Tamandua tetradactyla: one gene and its partner. The protein of the gene in region 2 interacts with the protein of the main gene of each other region in a biochemical or structural test. Links are inferred from orthologs where the notes say so. Each region holds a gene or a part of one and is shown on either strand. Other genes may lie near its edges. The genes, in order: USPL1 and RANGAP1.

Region 1 (9,893 bases), on a different chromosome or scaffold from region 2:
TGCAAAAAAACAAAAACAAAAAACCATGTATTTCTAAGATGCCATCTACTTTAATTTATGTGTTCCTTACACCAGTATAATATGGTGGTGTACTGGAGTCAGCATACTGCTTGATTCTAAATTGAGTATTTTGAGACAAATCACATCACCTGGGTGTTTCTTCATTTGCCCCCCCCCATGAAGCAGGTGAATCTTGTTCTAAATAAATATATAAATCTTCAAACACTAAAATCCTATAGCAGAGCAAGATTTTCAGCAGAGGCATATGAAGACTGAGACGGATGGATGGAGCAACAGATCTGTGCATTCCATCTCAGCTCACCCTAGGGTATATGCCCACCAAGTGCTTTTTCAATTGATTTTTTTCTTTTAAAATTTTTACCAGGCACATATAGTTGAATGTGCCTAAAATGCAACTTCTCTGTTTGCTCACTTTACCAATGAGAAAACTAAGTAAAAAAGAAGTAAACTGTTACGCAGATTTGCATAACAGTGGCAGTCTTGGTACTGAAACCTAAATGCTCTGATTTCTATTCCTGGACTTTTCCCAATATAGCACATACACTCCCAGTTCATATGGAGCTCTAGTGATAGATCTGAGTGTGCCCAGTGGTTAGGCATTGGTTTAGGTACTTTGGTCTGCCTAGATTCTAGAGCAACCTAGAGTTCAGAAAGTACCAGGATATTTTTCTGATGGCAAAACAAGATTCCATAAGAAATTTTTGAAATAATCACACAACCTGTTGATTAGCAATCAGGAGGGCACCAAAGAAAAAATTAAGCTGACATAGAGAAACACTTTCCTAATTGGGGCATGGTTGTCACTTAAAGGTGAATTTATGAGTCATCAGACTGGAAGGAATTTAGGATTATTTGGAAATGAATAGTCTTATGTTCCCAGAGTTGATGCTATCACTTAATATAGCCAGGAAATTTTAAACTCTCATGCATATCATCAAGGGAAAAGTGGTGCTAGAAACAGTGACAAAGAATGGAAATACCGAAGGTCAGGCTATGTGCTGTGGTAACCGTTTTCCTAAAGCTGGCATTGGAACACCTGACGTCTTTTTCAGGCCTCTCTGCTGACAATGCTGTTCCCCTTCTCTTTACCTAATTTGCTCTTCTCATCCTTCAAGCCTCAACTTAAATGTCATGGGTCAAGTTATCCACCCTATTGATGGAGCTCACCACTCTCTGTTACCCCCCTCTAGTTTTCTACTACCACTTGCTGCTGTTTGTTTTCCTCATAGCAGTCTTCTCAGCTTTTAATTACATAGTCATTTTTTTAATTTTATTTTTATTATTTAATGTCTGTCCACCTTCTAGGCTGTGAGCTCTGTGAGGGCATGCAGTACAGCTATTTCATTTGCCATTGTAGATGCAGTGCCTGGTACATAGCACATACTTGTTGAGTAAATGAATGAATGACCTTGATGGTTCCCAATTTCCAGTTGACATGGCTGACCAGATCCACTCTGAAGGGAAATGTTTTCAACAGCATATTTCCCTCATGTTCTCATATCTATTAGTTCATATTTGATATGTTCATCTTATTGAGGAAAATTTTAAACATTCTTCATCAAGTTTTATTGACTGTGCAAGGCAATGTGCTAAATTCTAGGGAATGCAAAGGTGAATAAGGCATAGGCTTTATCCCTAAAGCAAGTAGAAATATTTGTGAACAGCTTCCATACAAGGCACAACAATGACATAAAATGCTAAGTAAGATTTACATGCAATGTTCTGTAGGAGCAACAGAGGAAAAAATGATTAATTGTGGGAAGAGCACACAGTGGATTTTGACTTTGGTTTTGAAAATAAAAAAAAAAGAGCAGAAGTCCCTGTAGAGAATAGAGGTGAATGAATGTTCAGCTTCATTTTTTTAAAGCCTTAAAATGGCAATACTGACCACAAAGGATTCTTATAAAGCATTATCATAAAGCCATCTTTAAAAATCTCAGTTATAAATAAAATTAGTTTGGCCTTAAACATTGCACTTCTAAATTTGAGACTAACCCTAAAATCAGTTTGGCGGCTTTTACTATGTTGGTAATTTCCAGCTAGTTGTTATGAGTTCACTCTAACAGTTGGATTTGACTGATGGCTTATTGGAGTTAAGAGTTGTTTAGTAAACTAATCAGTTAAGTCAAAACCACTGAATATTGAAAATAGACATTTTTTTAAAGTGCTTTTTAAGCATGTGATTTGTCTTTAATGTACTGTTCACTGACATCACAATTTAAGAGTGTAGATTGCTTTTTTGATGGGTCCAATCTGATCTTTTGAAAGTTTATTTGTGCTTTCTTCCGTCTGTGTGTTTTCCTAAGCAACACAGACCTCCTTCTACTTTAGGGAAAAAAGGAGGGAAAAAATATATAGGCTTTAGATTCACAGACCTGATTTCAAATTTGCCATTTATTAATCCCAATTCTGCTACTGCTCAATTTTACCTATAAAATGAAAACATCTATTGATACCACTTCTGTGGCATTTCAGGCAAACTATTTAACCTCTCTGAGCCTCAGTTCCATATATAAAATGAAATGATCTTCAGTGAGGTAGTATGTAGAACAGTGTCTTGCAGTTCATAAGCTTGCAGCAATTATTGCTTTCCCCTTTTCCTCTTGCTTGTCCATTACAGTTCACTTCAAATTCTGTGGGCTGTCACTGCTAGCTCACAGCAGTCTTCTATTTTCCAAAGTCATGGAATTTACCATGTATACCACTGGTTCCTAAATTGGTATAGGTCGGATTATACTGGGAAAAATGCAATTGTGTGGGTCCTACTTCTGCAGACCCAGGCACCTATATTTTTACCTTGTACTTGCAGATATTCTAATGCTAACCAAAGATGGAGTGTCCACAGTTTCTCACCTGCTTGTTCATAATCGTGTGCTTCTTATAGTTTATATTCGTTAGGTAGTTCTTAGGTTACTATGTAGCCCTCTGGCTGTTTTGTTTTTCATCCCAAATACACTGTAACCTCTACAAGAGCACAAAATACCCATCATAGTGCTTGGTTCTTTGTTTGGGGGTTAATAAGTAATGTCCATGTCTTTTCCTCTGTCTAAATTTGGATCCAGTTATAAAATGATGCAGTAGTCAAACACATGAAGATTAAAGTGTTAGTTTAATTACCAAAAAAAGTCGTTTGGAAATGTGGTTTCGGTTTGCAGCAACAATGAGCTTCCTAATACTGCACTCCAGAAGTAGGCAGATTTAAACCTCAGCTTCTCTGTCTACAAGGGTAGAGCTTATCCACCATATATACCAGACCAGAACAAATGGCCCTCCTCAGTCAGCCAGGTCCCAAATGGAAAGGAGGAAGGATGTGGCCGGGGTACATACTTTCTTCTCCCAAATTTGCCATCAGATCCCTTACCTGCTCCTACCCTAGGAGGGAATTGGTGAGGGTGAGAGAGGTCAGTTATGAATATTACACTCAGGAAGTTTCATGTGGAGTATGAAGGAGCTTTCATATCCTCACAGTGCTCAATAGGTATATTCTTGGACTTCTTAAATATTTAAATGAAAGGTCATGGAAGGTATTGAAAGGTTATTGAAAAGTAGATTTTTTTCAGTATAAATTATATTAGTTAACTTTTACTAACCCCCAAACAGCTTAAAATAATAAACACTTACCATTCTGCACAGTTTCACTGGGCAAGCATCCAGGAGTTGCTTGAGGGTCTCATGAGGTTGTGGTTGAGACGCCTGTGGGCTGCAGTCATCTGCAGACTGCCCTAGGGTTCCCACAGCATGGCAGCTGGCTTTCTCCCAGAGAATAGGGCAGAAACTATGTGCCTTTTATGACCTCACCTCAGAAGTGACATACCTTCACTTTGCCATGGTCTGTGGGTTGCACATACCAACCCCTGGAGCCCGTGGGAGGGACCCCTTCAAGGGTGTGACGACCAGGACAGGGTTGGTTGGTGCTGTCTTGAAGGCTGGCTTCCACAAGTATTTAGCCTGTACCTCACCTTGCTTCTTAGGGGAGGAAACAACTCGATGATATAATATCCTGTTAAAATTACTAAAATATTAAAGGTGGTTTCTGAAATAATTTTATTTTTGTAGAGATATTATGTATGGTTTCCTAGCTGGAGAATAAGTTGAGAGAATGTGTCCAGAGGATTATTCTCTACTACCGGCCCCTCCTTCCTGCCCAGCTCAGTCCCTGAGTCAGCGGTTTACCAGGGTGGTCAGGGACTGCTGGTTTGCATGATCTTCCAGATCGTCCAGGAAAGTTCAGTGGATCTACAGGCAGACTTAACTAGGTGATAATAACTACAATTTTGATTTTAGAATGTATTAATAATTTACTTGTGGTCTCCTGGGAGGTGCCTCGTAAAGTCTGAGTCCCATCTTCTGATTTCTTCAAGGGAGGTTTTTGCAGTGGTAATCAGAATGAGGTGGAATCGATGGCTAAGGTGATCATTTACCTCACAGAATTAGTCCATAGGCCCAGAGAGATGGAAGACATCACTCTGAGTAAGCAAACAGGAGCTTAACATTTTAATGCCAAAAGATTAAAGGAGTCCAAGTAAGGGAACTAAAATGGTTATGAATATAATTTATATTGCATGTAGTGTGCTAAGTAATTTTAGGTTTTGTAAAACAACAATGTTAAGAAGGAACTTGAAATGTTCAGTGAATTAAAGAGTATAAAATTCATTCGTCCTTTATTTTTAATGCTTTTCAACACTATGGGAAAGAGAATAATTTCAAGATTATGGCAGGAAATGTTTGAAGATAAATTGGCAATGCCTAAATATTCTTTTGGGTTCTAGCCACACACATTGTTGAATCAGTTTGCTTTTAAGTTGCTTAAAGAACTAGATACATGAATGAAAAGTTGAAGAAGCTCAGATGCTAGTATAACCAGTTCATCATTAAGGTATTTACAAAGGGAGAAGAAAGTATGTTCCAAACCCTGTTAACTCATCTGCCTGTCATAGTGTCCAGTCATGTAGGCATATTGATGACAGCTTTCACCCTCAAGTATTAGGAGGCACTATTTTGCTCATCAGAAAGGAAATTTCGGGAAATTCATCTTAACTTTTGAAATGTAATTTGTCATGATTAATCAATAGAATCACACTTGGTTTTAAGGTGTGATCACCTATGAAGTCTTACGGTCAATGAGAGGTGGTAGTACATTTTTTTTTCTGAATGTAGAATATGTAAACCTTAGAAGTTGCTCACTTGAGTCTTCAGAGCTAATAAGAAGTGGTGGGTGAAAGGAATAAACTTTGAAAAGATTGAGGATTTTCTGAAAATGAAAGGACAGGAGGTATAGGAAAGTTAAAAAATGTTCATTTTAAGATCTTGTGCTGGGAATAATAAATACACTCACTAACCTCAGAAATTCCGCTTCTAAGGTAGAAGAACAAGTTCAATGGCATGACAAGGAATCAGTCAAATGCAAAAGGTAGAATGTTCTGTAAGACTGGTCTTTTTAAAAAGTCATTGTCATTAAAAGAGAACAAAGAAACCTGATGACCAAATACAACACATGGACCTTGAGTAGATTTTGGGTTTTAAACTACTACCATAAAATACATTTCGGGGGGTGGGGGAGGGCAAGAGAAGTTCAGTGGTAGAATTCTTGCCTGCCATGTGGGAGCCAAATGAAAAACCAAAATAAAAATTCAGCAAATGGTGCCACAATAAGGAGATACTCACATAGAAAAAGAATGAAATGTGCCCTCCACCGTACAGCATTAAAAAATATATATTTTAGAGAAATTTCAATATTCCCAAACATAGAAAATATTTGGGGATATATTTTTAATTTTCCTGAGTGTGTTGGTGACTATATGGTTATTTAGAAGGGTGATCTTATTATTAGGAGATATATTTGAAGTATATTTAGGAGTGAAGTTATCTTCAGATAATTCAGAAAAATAGATATATGTATACACATAAGCATGTATAGGTAAAACACATATAATACAGTGTTAACAAATGTTGACTCTAGACAATAGATACAAGGATAGTTGTCATGCTATTCTTTCAGCTTTTCTGTGTATAAAATAAGTTGGAAGGGGCAGTCTTCCAGATAATCCTGTTACTATACTCCACTTTATAGCATAAGACCTCAAGTGTCTATCATTGTATATAGTTGCTGTCTCTGCTCTCCTTTGGAATCCATACCAGTCAGGCTTTCATTTCTCCTCTCCACCCAAACTGCTCATTTGTACATCAGCACTGGCTTCCATGTTGCATTATCTGGTAGTCAGTTCTGAATCCCCTTTGGACTTGACCTCTCAGCATTTGACACAGTTGATCATTCTCTCCTACTCTGTTCTCCTCCTCTTCCATGGCTTCTCCTGTCTTTTGCCTCCTCCTCTTAAGTGCCTTAGGGCTCAGTCCTCAGTGCTCTTTGCAGTTTTCCTTGACTGCCTAAGTGATCTTATCCTGTCCTATAGCCATAGATGCTCAAAATTCCATCCTTATATTTCTAGCCCTGAACTTCAGACTCATGGATTTAGCTGCCTACCTGATATATTCACTTGGAGGTTGTTTTAGTTTCCTTGGCCATTCCAAGCAAAATACCATGAAATGGGTTGACTTAAGCAATGGGATTTTATTAGGCTACAATTTTGAGGCTAGGAAAATGTTCAAATCAAGGTATCACCAAAATGATGCTTTCTTCCTGGATACTGGCCACCAGCAATCTTTGGCTCTCTGCCACATGGCAAGGCACATGGTGGTGTCTGCTGTTCTCTCTCTTCTCTTCTGGGTTTTGTTGCTTTCACCTTCTTGCTTTCCCAGCTTTCTCTCTCTGAATTTCATTCTCTTATCAAGGACTTCAGTAATAGGGTAAGACCCATCCTTTGAGGTGGGATACACCTTCACTGAAGTAAACTCATCAAAAAATCCAGCTTACAACGGGTTCACACCGACAGAAATGGATTAAGCTAAAGAACATGTTATCTGGGGTGCATACAGCTTCAAACTACCAGAGATGTCATGGAGGCATTTCAAACTTAGTATGTCCAAAACTGAATTCTTGATTCTGGTTAACCATTTCTGTCCACCCCCAAAGAAAACAAAGCATCTACTTCTTCCCTACAACTCCTGCAGTCTTCCTACTTCGTCTCAGTATGAAGACTGCATTCTTCTGATTGCTCTGGCAGAGAGCCTCTTTTTCCTCCATTTACATTTAATGTAGTCAGCTCTCCTTTCAAAATATATTCAGAATCTCACCACTTCTCTAGCTCCCACGACTACCATCTTAATCCAACCCACCATTCTATTTCAGATTATAGATGGGTTTCTCAACCCTGATCAGCACCACTGATGTTTTGGACCAGGTAGGAGGCTGTCCTCTCTCTTGGGTCTGTAGCACCATCCTTGTCTCTACTTGCATGATACAAATGACCTGTAGCCCCAGTTCTGATAACCAAAAATGTCTCCAGACTTGACCAGATATTCTCTGGGAAGCAAAATCTAGGAAGGAAAATTCAGTCAAGGACCACTGGATTATAACGATATTCTCCTGTTCTTCCTGCTTCCTTCCTTGCCTCCCTACAGATCATTCTCTATCTGGCAGTCAGTGTATCATTTAAAGCATAAATCACATCAGGTCACTCCTTTTCTCAGAGCCCTCCTGGGCTTTCCCACTAGGGTCAAATCTTTAAGTCTGTGAAATCTATGCAGTTTGAAAAGAGCATCCCTTCCCCTAGGTGGGTGCAACCCTTTACCCTGATTTATTCTTCTTTGTTGTGTCTTTCACCACCTGGCATGGATTGAATTATGTCCTGCAAAAAGATATGTTAAAAGTCCTACTCCCCATTATCTCAGAATTTAGCCATATTTGAGAGTAGGGCCATTACAGATTGAAGTAGGCAAGGTAAAATGAGGTCAAACTGGAAAAGGGGGGCCTTTCATCCAGTGTTACTGGTGTCATTATGAAAAGAGGAAATTTGGGCCCAGAAGAGGGGAAAATGCCATGGAATGATTGAGGAAGAGAAAGCCCTACATTACTGGCAGTCCACCACCAGAAGCCAGGAAAGGAATGGGGAACAGATTCCTCTCTAGGGTAGTCTTCAGATGAAGCACGGGCCTGCCAACACCTTGGTTTCGGACCTCTAGCCTCCAGAATTATGCGGCAATATGTTTTTGTTCTTTTAAGCCTCCAGTTTTTGGTACCCTGTCACAGAATCTGACATATTTGTTGACTGAATGGTGAGATGCACCCTACAATTGCAATGATCTATATTTAGTACCAAGGTAAGTGCTAAAATTGCACCCCACCCAGCCTAGGACCCTTAAGATAGGCTTACACCTAACCCAGCCTCAATGAGTCTGGAAGGATCTCCCAGAAAAAGCAGTGCCTAAATAGGACTTCGATAGGTCGTGTAAAAGGAGAGAAAGGGTATTAGCATGAAGGAGCAGGAGAAGAGTGGAGCAAATAATTAATTCTGAAATGACAGCAGGACCTCCAGGAGGACACTCCACATCCTTGGTAGAGATGAGTCTTGATCTCAGGAGAGGGAATCCGTACTGTACATATAGATTTGAAAGTCATCAATAAATATGGGGAAAATGAGAGAAAACATATAACAATTGGAGGAAAGCCTTGAAATGTAGTCTGATAAACTAAGAAAATTCCCTAACAAATGCTACAGAGAAAAACGAAGGAGGGAAAAGAAAGGAGACTGCTGAAGTGTTTCATTAAAACCAGGAAAACCAAGTGAACCATGGGCATTTTAGGACACTTTCCCTGTCTGGTTTAAGCAAAAGCACTTGTTTTTCCTCGGGGCTTGTGGAAGTGATTACTGCCGACAAATGAAACCTGCTGGCTATGGCTGTGCATATAGCTACTAAGGTTATTTAAATTTTTATGCATTCAAAAAATCATGTCTTCAAACTTGGAGATCTTTGGAGGAAAAAATCTATTGAACTATGGAGTATGAAGTGTTCTTTTCCTCTCATTCTTATACTTTTAATTTGAGATTGTAAACTAACATTTATTAGTCTAACTGTAGTAGCCAACTATTGACTGTGCAGTATACCACCCCCAAACTTAAAAAAATATTTTATTTTATTTCTCATGATTCTATGGGAGGCCAGAAAGTTCTTCTGCTGGTCTCACCTGGGCCTACTCATGCAGCTGCTTGGGTTGAAGGGCCTAAATTGGCTCTGCTGACATGCCCGTGGTCTTGGTGCTGCTGTAAGCCAGGCCTGCCTCTCCTCGCCACACCAGCTCCCCTCAGGACTCTTTACCTGGTGGCAGGCTTATTCCAGGGGGCCCCTTAAGGCCTCCTCTCAGAAACTGCGCCATATTCTGCTGCCTCCACCACAGTTATGTCTGTGGATTACTGTACTTAAAGCTCACACAGTGCTATCAAAAATAGATGCCATTATTATCCTTCTTTTCTAAATGAAACTAAAGCTTAGCACTAACAGTTTGACCTGCAGACGCTCAGCAGGCAAGCCACAGAACCAGATGTGGGTTTCAATCATATCAACAATCTTTGTGACATTCGTTTATCTGAACCTATTTCCTCATCTGTAAAATGGGATTAATATACCATACAGAATTGTTTTTAGGATTGAGTGCTTAATACATAGCAGATACTCAAAAATGCTAATTGCATCATTGCCCCATATACCCTTCTCAGATTTCCTTATTAGATGAGAAAGTGTTTTTTATACATGCTATTTGTCACATTATCTTAAGCGAAATTTGAATAACCTAGACCACAATTATTAAAGAAGACTATGATTAAAATTCCAATAGAACAGTGAAAAAGAAAGAAACTATTCTAATGAATTAGTTATTTTTAGACTGCGGTCTAAACTTTTCAGACCTAAGGTGTTAGTGGCTGATGATCACTTAATATATTTCTCTTCCAGAGATTATTTACATTTCAGAGGAAATA
Region 2 (10,221 bases):
ATGAAAATACTCAAACATACAGAAAGTTGAAAGAAGTGCATGATGAACAACCCACATGCCGTAGATTATTCTACAATTAACACCTTGTTATATTTGCTCTATCACATATTTATCCACCCATGCATCCACCCATCCACCCATCCACCCATCCACCCATCCACCCATCCACCCATCCACCCATCCATCCATCCTGCAGAATATTAACAGTGGCTATAAATCTGGATACTGGGAATAAAGATAAAATTAAACTTTAGCTTTTACTCTATAATATTTTGCTTTTGTACAGTTTTTTTAATGACTGTGTCAGTTTTCGTTTAAAACATAAAATTATTTCCATTTTGAAACAAACGAATTATTAAAAGAGAAGATAATCTGCCAAAAGCCGTTGGCACCAGGAAACTCTCCAAAAACATCATTTAGACAGGAATTTAAGCTTCTCCAGGGACTCTGTCATTTTCTATCTTGTTCATCATTGTATTTTCATCAGCCTGGCACATAGTAGATGCTCCATAACTATTTGCGCAATGAATGATTTATTTTAATTTTGTTATTTAGCAAGGTAGGAAAAAAAAATGTGTGTTGGATGTAGAGCCATAGGCTTGAACCCAGGGGGAATGTGGTTTGAATGTAGTTAACAGATGATGTAGTGGCCCCCTTCTTTGCCCCTCCTCCCCTACAGAGGAGGGGACCCTGTGTGAGGCTCCCATGTAATGCTGGTGGGCTGACCCAGCTCTCTCCCAGGAGCCCAAGGTCAGCACCCAGTTGGATCTTGGGAATTTCTCTCCACATTCCTCTCGTGCCTGACATACTTTTAGGCTTTTGTTTTTTATCAGACTAAATGGCAAGTCTGCAGCCTTGGTAATTCTTCAGGAAATCAGCATAAATATTATTTATTCCATTTAAAATTTGCAATTAAGTTCACTGGCATCCACCAGAATGGAATTTAAAGCACTCAGTTAAAGTAAACTAATCAGAGGCAGCCTGCTTTTCTCTTGAAAACATCTTTTAAGAAAACGTTACAACTGGGAGAGAAACATCTGGAGCAGTCTTCCCTTTCTCCCTCTGTACTTGCCTCACACAATATGACTTGTTCTGAGTGTGTTGAAAAGGACCCCAGAGGTCTGGCTTCTACTGTTTGTTTGTTTGTTTTTGTCTAAAGTTACTGTGTAACTTTTGCCAGGTTATTTAACTTCTCTGGTCCTCAGGAAAAGGGTGGCCTAATTCAGTTCTACCCATCCATCCATAAAGGCTGAGTCCACTTCTTGGGCCAGGCAAATAGATCAGGTCTCAGGTGATATCTTGAAAGAAAGTTGGAAAAAGGGAAAGTGAGAAAAAGATGACAAATGTGGTTGTTGGGAAACAAATGATGAATCTGGACTTTTCTGACTCACTGTGCAACGTTGGCAAACCTCCTTCTCTTTAAGTCCTAGTATCCCTACCCATAAAGGAGTTTGAGATAGACTCTAGATTCAGGTGTTACAAACAAAATCTGGATTGCTCAGAGGTGTGGTCAGGCTGGGTTTTTTATTTTTAGCTTTGCACGTGAATGCCTTCAGTCAGAAATTTTCTCTAGTCCTCCACAAGCCCCACCAGGCTTTTTAATAATTCCTATTACCTGCTTGACCCTTGAAGGCCGTTGAGTTTCTGCTAAGAATTCCCTTTCAGTTCTGATAACCCTATCATCTATCTGCTGGATGAAGAAGGGGAAGTTCACCTAAGCAACTAAAATGTTCTATTGCCCATCTTCTTCTCTTTGGGAAGTCTCTGTCTTGAGATCCTCAAGTCTCAAGGAGTAAAACCGGAAAACGGAGACTGGAGATTACCCCAAGGAAAATCCAGACTGATTTTGATCAATCTTAGCTGGAATCGGCGCAGAAACAGCATCAAACCTAATTGGGAGTGCTTGTTCTGATGGCAAACATCAGATGACCCTGACAGGAATCCTCAAATGAGGAAACCCAAAACATCAGTGATGCCAGGCCCAAAGGGGATGCAGCTCAGGTGGATACAGTGCCTGTTCTCAGAGGCCCTCCCAGGCTAGGTAGGAAGCTAACTCTGACTGTGGGAAAGCTCTCAGAGCCATGTGCCAACTACTGTGGGGACTCAGAACTGGGCGAGACTAATTCTGGCTGCAGTGGTTTAGGAAGGCCTTCAGGATGAGGGGGAATTGACATGGACTTTGCAGGCAGAGGAGAGGGAGGGGAAGCAATCTGGTGTGGGAAAGAGGACACATGGGGCAGGTGTCACCTCTAAGCAGCTGTTTGAACCAGGGATGTCACATTAGGTCTGGAGAGTTAGCTTTCTCATCTTGATGCTGGGAAGGCTGGGAAAATGCCCACTTCCTGTGTGGTTGTAAAGATTAAATAAGCTATGTGTGCAAGAATCTGGCACATAATATACTTAACTGAATTGCAGGTAAAGCAAAAGCATATGTGTAGGCTGGATTGTGAGAGGTAACTGGAAAAGAAGGTTGCATATGTTGACAGTTATTATCTCTAGATGCTTAGGTTTCAGGTGAGGTTTACTTTTTTTTCTCCTATTCTATATTGGTTGAATTGTTTATAATGAATACATGTTTTTAATATAATGGTTAAAAAGCTGTTTATAAAAAACAAAAGCTATTTGCATTTTTATACTTTAAAAAAAGTTGCAAAGAACTCCCGTATACTGGATTTATTAATGTTTTGCCACATTTGCTTTACCTTTCTCTATGTATACATATACATGTACATATACATTTTTTTCTCTGAACCATTTGAGAGTAAGTTGCAGACATCATGCCTTTGTCCCTAATTATTTCAGCATCTGTTTCCAAAGAACAAGGACAGTCTCTAACATAACCTAGTCCAATACTCAACATCAGGGTATTTAACTTTGATACAATTGTATTATCTAATGTACAATCAGATTTTGCTAATAGTATCAATATTGTCTCCTATGACAATCTTCCCAGGATCCAATCCAGGATTACGCATTGCATTTAGTCGTGTCTTTTTACTATAATCTGCAAGGGTTCCTGTTTTTCTGCCCTTCATGATATATTTTTGGAAGAGTACAGAAGAGTTTTTCTGTAACAAGTTTCCTCAAGATTAATTTTATGCATTGTTGACAGGATAGTCATGCCGTGTCCGTCTCAATGCATCACATCATGAGGCGTGGGGTGTCGGATGATAACTTTAATTACTTGGTTAAGGTGGTGTCCGCAGAGTTTCTCTACTATAGAATTATTATTACCCCTTTTTGATTACCAAGTAATGTATGGCTATTTATGAAGAAGACTTCGAATGCCCTTTAAATTCAATGAGACGAAAAAACACGAGTTTTTTCTTTCAGGAAATGGATACTTGATTTCTTGCTGAGGAGATTTAGCAGCACGGCTTCGGAAGTACCAGCCGTTATCAATAAAGTTACGTGAAGATAAACTTTCCGGAAGGGCTGGGACAGCCGTGCTGCACGGCATTAGGGGAATTGTAGTCTCTCTGCGCGCTTCCGGTTAAGCACCGTCCCGTGGCCTGCCCGAGAAAGAGCCAGACGTCGAAATGGGAGGACGACGGCTGTGGCACTCTGGAGGGCGGTGCGTCACGGTACTTGTAGTTCACAGTATGCGCCCCTGCCATGTAACTCCGGGCCCCGCGCAGAAGGACTGGACTACTATACCCGATAGGCCACGCGCGCGGGGGGCAGGGGAAGCCGGCCTGGGCCTCGAACAAATCAAATCGAAGGCAAGAAACTGCCGGCTTTCAAAATCCTCCTCCTCCGCCATCATCCACCGCGGTGTGGGGAGCAGGTGGTGTCTGCGACGTGAGTGACGAGAAGCGCCGGGAGAGCAGACAGCCTAGCGGGCTGAGCATCAAGATCTCTGGGCCCAAAGGCGGCGACCCCGACCTGACCTGACCCGGACCCTAAACCGGTCCCCACCCCGCCGGGCGGACGCGCGTGTTCGGTTCGCCCCACGCGGCGGCGCTGCCTGTTTACGGTAGGGTAGGGGTCCCTTTCCTTTGCCCGTCACCTGCCTAGGGGCGGAGGGAGCGGCCCTGGAACTGAGTAAGGAAAGTGTGGCGCCCCTGAGCGCCTGCTGCGTGCCTCCTTGGCGATGTCCCCCGCGTCTGCGATTGCCAAGCTCGGAGGTGGGGGGTGAGAGGCGTTTGTGCCTTTCTCAAATGGGGAAGCTGAGGCATAGAGAGGATGTCAAATTCTCTGGAGCCGCCCAGTCCATGCCTGCCAGCTGTGGCGTCTCATGTTGGCATCTGTGGCTTCTGGAGGCGGTGCGAGTCTTCCGGGAATCTCGGATGAGGCTCCCGCGCTGCCCGCCTGTCATTTATGGCCTGCAGTCGCGCGTCGCTCTCCCATCACTGACTCCCAGTAGGCCCACAAAGTCTCCGATGCTCCTGCAGAGGAGGGGCTGTCTTGACTCTGCCGCTAACCCCTTGCTGACCTAGGAGAAACAAATTTACATCTCTGTGTTTCGGGTTTTTTGGTCTTTAGAGTTAATTGGGGCGGTGGGAAGGTGACTGGAGGAGTGGACCCCCTTCAGCTGAGAAGCTGCATCCCTGTTCCATCTGGAGGCTCCACCACCACTTTTGTAGCCTCAAATTGTCCCACACCAGAACTGCAAGAGGTGGTAGGGTTTAGGTTAATTTTTATTAAGTTTCACTCCCTCATTCTTTGAGCACCTTCTAAATGCCAGGCCTTGTGCACAGATAGAGTGATCCTGTCAAAGCATTCCCCAGTTCACAGCTCTTCTCTACTAGAAACTTTCCACTGTCTCTTGTCATTCAGAGAAAAAGCCATGGTCCTTAAAATGGCTTTATGATACCCCGTCCCCCTTAGCTCTCTGTTCGTTCTTACCTCCTTTCTCCCTCCTTCACTGTGCTCTTCGCTTAGCGCCCTCTGGTCTCCTTGCAGTTCTCCAACACCCCCCTCCCGGCGAGAGCCTTTGCCTTTGCTATCCCCTTTTGTGGGAATATTCTTCACCCAGGTGGCTGCAGGCCCCAATCTCTGACACACTTCAGGTCTTTATTAGTTGCCTCCTTCCTAACAATACCTTCTCTAACCATTCTACTTTAAACAACCAAAAAAAAAAAAAAAATCCTTCTTTACTCTCTTCCCCATTGATTTTTCTTATCATTAATGTACTAAACATCTGCTTCAGGAAGATGTTTGTCTGTTATTCTCTGCTGTACTCATGGTACCTGGAAAAATGTCCAACCTGTAGTAGTACTCAATAAATGTTTTTTGAAGGAATGAATGCTTATACTCAATGAATAAGTCAGGCTTATTATTAAAGACAGACAGACAAACAAACCAGGGTTAGAAGGGGAGAAAACATTGGACAGTTGTTTGGTTGAGCCCAGAGAAAGCCTAGGGAAGTGGAAGAATGGGGGAGCTCTCATAGCTGCCTCTTGAGGATGAGTAGATTGGGGGAGGAGACAGTCTACATAAAAGGAGTCTCTCTAAGCACCTCCTAGTTCTGTTCCCCATATCAGCAGTCTTCCTTGGTCTCCCCTGATTACCTGCCTGTACCCCTTTGGTAAAGTGGAGTTGTCCTTTCTTGCTGGTCTACTGAGCTCCAGGTAGGAAACCCCTACCTGGTAGGAAACCGCTACCTGGTAGAGTTTTCTGGCAACTCTACCCCTGACCTATTGTGATGGTGCTATTGTGATGTAGAGATCTCTGGTCTCCTAGAAACTCTGAGGTCTGACCACCATGGACTGCAAGGTTGAAACCAGCCAAGCAGTGGGCCAACCCCTGTGCCCCACCCCCAGAGTCATGCCAGCGTGGGCGGTGAGGCATTCCCTGGGATGGATGACCTGGACCCCATAGCCATCTATGTCCTGTTTGAGGAATGGGACCCTCAAACAGAGAGCAGCCAAGATGATCAGGCAGGTATGTGATTGGATCAGACTCTTTGCATCATGTAGCCTTGCTAGGTGCTCCTAGCTGGAGCAATTGGGCCGAGCAGGACTTATAGTGAGATAGTAACTCTTTAGCGGTGAAACATGGTTTTTCTACTTTAAGAGAGTAAAACATGATTTATCTATTTCTTTGTTACCTCTTTCCCTTTTCTAGAACTGTTCTTCCTTGATGCTGTTTTCATCTCTCAGTGGTGTAGCTCTTAGGGTCTTAATAGCAGGGGTAAGTGAGATCAGACCCCTGAGATGGTTGATTCCCACCCACCCCCTCAACCAGGTATCTTAATGCTACTTCTGCCTCTTCAGTTTACAGATCTCCAGGGGACTCCACCATCATGGCCTCCGAAGACATTGCCAAGCTTGCAGAATCACTGGCCAAAACCCAGGTGGCCGGAGGACAGCTGAGTTTCAAGGGCAAGAGCCTTAAACTCAACACAGCAGAAGATGGTGAGTGCCTGGACGGACTTGTTCAGGGGAGGAAAGGGAGTGTGTGAATGAACACTTAAAACTTTTCCTATTTGTCAGGCATATGTGGCTGCAGCAACTCTATTATGTATCCAGTAGGCCTATTCTAATGATCAGGCTCAGAGACATTAACGATTTACCCATGAGCTTGTGCAGGCTGCCCTACTCTCTTCATGCTTGTAGTGACAGCTCAGGCTGCCAGATGGGCAAAGCCTCTTTACCTCTCAGAGGGAGGAATGGTAGGTTATAAGGGGCCACAATTAATCGTGGTCCCAAGATTTAGCTCTGACTTCTGACATCAGATCTGGTGTTCTTTCTACCCCCATTTTCACTTCCTGGGAACATCAGCTGTTGTCCATGTCGAGGTACAAATAAGCAGCACCTCAGGCCCTCCTGGGAGTCTGGTCAGTGCTCCCAGATACCTTGAGAGAGGCATGGATGTCCATGTCTCTGTGGAGGGCATTGGGACTGCAGAGAATGCAGACCCTGTCTTTCCCCACCCCTAGCCTAGGCATGGCTGGCGCTGACCAACCCTGAATTCCCTGGTGTCTAGAACAGAAGATGCTGATGTCAATGCTTGTAAGACCTCTTGGGGTTTTGCCTCAAACAGGGAAACTGGTCTGGACTTGCCTGGTTGTCACTGTGAGCAGGTGGGCTTGCTCACCTCCCCTGGGTCAGAGTCCGTGGGTTGCTGGGAGTGTGGTGATGCACATTACATTCCTAACATCTCTGTAGGGCCTTAGAGTTCACCAAGCATCTCTCTCTGCTTTCATCACATCGTCCCTGTGGGAGGTAGGAGGAAATGCTGCTTTGTTAATTAGGAAAAAAGACTTGGGAGACTTAGGTAACTTGCCCTAGGTCCCACAGCTGGTTAGTAGCAGAGCCAGCATTTTAACATAGGTCCTGTGCTTCTCACTGGATGTTGAGCTCAGTTCAGTAACCATGGTCTTGCTATAAAATGCCATCTATTAAACACTTACTCTGTGTCAGGCAGGGTGTTAGGGACCATACAAATAGTACCACTGTTTATCCTCACAAAAGCCCTTGAGGTATAGGCTTCATCTTCATTTTGTAGATTGGAAAACAGGCTCACGGAAGTTGTCAGACTTATCTGAGGGCATAGCTGGTAAGTGCGGAGCTGGGGTTAGTACTTAAGTTTGTCTGACTCTGAACTTTATGGAGGTAACCTCTTCACCACATCAGCATGGGCTGAACTTGGTACTTGCTTTCATAGGTCACCAGGAGTACCCAGATTGCCCTCAATGTGGAAAGGAAATGAGGTACTGAAGTGACTAACAGGAAGCAGAATGTGAAACGTACTCTAAGAGACATAAACAAAGGACTTTGGAAACTAAGGGGAGAGAGCTCACTTTTAGCTTAGGAGGGTCTGGACAGTATCCATGGATGAGATTTGAACTGTCATGAAAGGATGATTTGAAGGAGAATCGTTACTCCAAACAGGGAGAATCGCATTGATTAAGGTCCAGAAACTAAAACAAGTAGTGTGGGTTTGGGAGAAGTGAACTCTGTTAGTTGTCAGAACCCCATAGGGATCCCAGGGCAGAGGCCCTTGAATACTGTACTGAGGAACCTGGGGTTCAGTTTTGGGCCTACGATTCACCTTGATGCTGATTGTGGCTGATAGCCGGTGGTGATCCAGGAGGGCAAATGCCTGTGTGAAGGGGCCCTGAAGTTGATGATTATAATGAGACCCTGTTCTCTCTGCAGTAAGTCATGGAAAGATCAAAGAGGCTTTCTGCTTTACCTGTCAGGATAACAATCCTCAGGAACTTGTTAGTCTGTGATGTGGTACAGGCTGAAAAGAGAAATTCCTGCCAAACAGCTTCGTAACAATTGGTTGTTCAGGAGTGACTGGGGCCCATCCCTAACCTATTGTATAGGCCATACAGTCTTTAAATTATGCATTACTCCATTTGAATCGAAAACCAAAGGAGAAAAGCAAACCCACTTACGACCCTATTGTTCTCCTGTCCCTGTTTTGTTATGTTTCCTAATAGACTTGCTCTGTAAGTGTGACTTCCCCTGGGCTGAAATTGTAGGAAGCATGGTACATGTGCATCTGTGTGTTTAAGGTACTTTCACAGCTTAGGTTTTTCCTTGGGGCCCTGGCATCTGACACCTGGTCTTTGGGGACTGTATAAACATTCTATTTTCTCTCGCCTTGTTGACCTGATCAGTACTCAGGGGTTAGAAGGTGTTCTAGTTTGCTAGCTGCCGGAATGCAACACACCAGAGACGGATTGGCTTTTAATAAAAGGGGATTTATTTTGTTGGTTCTTCAGAGGAAAGGCAGCTAACTTTCCACTGAGGTTCTTTCTTACGTGGAAGGCACAGGATGGTCTCTGCTGGTCTTCTCTCCAGGCCCCTGGGTTCCAACAACTTTCCCCGGGCCGACTTCTTTCTGCATCTCCAAAGGTCTGGGCTGAGCTGCAAGTGCTGAGATGAGGAATGCCGAGCTGCTTAGGCTGTGCTACATTGCGTTCTCTCATTTAAGCACCAGCCAATTAAGTCAAACGTCACTCATTGCAGCAGACACGCCTCCTTGCTGACTGCAGATGTAATTAACAACAAATGAGGTTCACGTACCATTGGCTTATGTCCGCAGCAACAAAACTAGGTATGCTCACCTGGCCAAGTTGACAACTGAATCTAACTAACACAGAAGGGGCTCCCTTTTGGTGTGGGTCTCCCAAGGAGTTGAGAGGTCATCCCTGTCCTTGCCCTAAGTACACTGCAGAGGAGGCCTGGGAAACCAGGACCCTGAAGTTGCAGGTCCAGAGTGGCCCCAGGAAAGGGGAGTGGTGGTTGGTTTTGGAGCTTCTATACTAGCATGAGGGGCTCATGAAGTCATTGGTTGAGAAGCAAGGATTTGGGGAAGAACATATAGATGCCCTTTTGAAAAACCAGTCTGAAGCCTAAATGTGCCATTTTCCCACACCTCCTAGGAAGAGTTATGTCATTCCTTGAAATTTCAGTTTCTACTAGAAATTCAGGAAGCTTAAATGCACTCAGCCTTCCTTGTCGTGAAATGAGAACTGGAAAAGGTGTCAGCCACCACTTTCTGACTATGTGACTTAGTGGCATTTACCCCTGCCCCCCTGCTGTGTTTGTTTACTCAGTTCTAACATGGACATGATCATGACTCCTTTATTAGGTGGTGCTGGGGAATGTATGAATTAATATATCATACAGGTAAAGTGCTTTTCAGCTGTAAAATTATTGGTTATTAGTCTGGGTGCTAATCTTGGCAGAGCTCAGTCCCTTGGCTCCTGGAGCTCACACCTGCAGAGGAGGATGGTATTAATGAAGTCACCGTATGATAACAAAGGAGTCATTTAACAGATGTGAGAGTGTAACCATGACTCAAACTACAGATGAGCGACCCGAGCCTGTGTAACCCATGTAGTAGGGATTTGACCTGGCTAGGGAGGTTGGACGAGGGCTTCTGAGGACAGATGCTGCTTGCAGAGGGTACTCCAGGCTGAGAGCAGCATGTGCAGATGCACCCAGCCTGGGGAGCTGCTGCTTTCTTTTTTCTTTTTTTTTTAACTTCTAGTTTTGAAATACTTTCAAACTTACAAAAATAATGCAACCCCCATACAGAGAATTCCAACATACCCCCACCTCCCCTGCCAGATCCCCAGATCCACCAATTTTAACATTTTGCCACATTTACCGTAGTCTATTAATCCATGTATTTTTAAATCTTATTTCTGAATCCTTGAATGTAGAGTGTATAGCTCATGCTCCTTGAATACTTAGGTACATATGTACATTTTCTAAGAACAGGGATATTCACTTATATATCCATCTTGTTTTTAAA

What was found.
Region 1: of the proteins of RANGAP1 (region 2) and USPL1, one has a biochemical effect on the other in vitro, tested with the Homo sapiens proteins (2 studies listed by BioGRID). The link is inferred for Tamandua tetradactyla from reciprocal best matches to the Homo sapiens genes RANGAP1 and USPL1.

The regions. Positions count from the first base shown.
Region 1 is NC_135330.1:195,667,832-195,677,724, reverse strand, and holds the start of USPL1 (SUMO-specific isopeptidase USPL1), read right to left. Parts: upstream 3,790-9,893; 5' UTR 3,646-3,789; coding exon of another isoform or gene 3,643-3,645; intron 1-3,642. UniProt on the Homo sapiens protein: SUMO-specific isopeptidase involved in protein desumoylation. Specifically binds SUMO proteins with a higher affinity for SUMO2 and SUMO3 which it cleaves more efficiently. Also able to process full-length SUMO proteins to their mature forms.
Region 2 is NC_135333.1:34,450,373-34,460,593, reverse strand, and holds the start of RANGAP1 (ran GTPase-activating protein 1), read left to right. Parts: upstream 1-5,685; 5' UTR 5,686-5,801; coding exon 5,802-5,886; intron 5,887-6,069; exon of another isoform or gene 6,070-6,135; intron 6,136-6,218; coding exon 6,219-6,359; intron 6,360-10,221. UniProt on the Homo sapiens protein: GTPase activator for RAN. Converts cytoplasmic GTP-bound RAN to GDP-bound RAN, which is essential for RAN-mediated nuclear import and export. Mediates dissociation of cargo from nuclear export complexes containing XPO1, RAN and RANBP2 after nuclear export.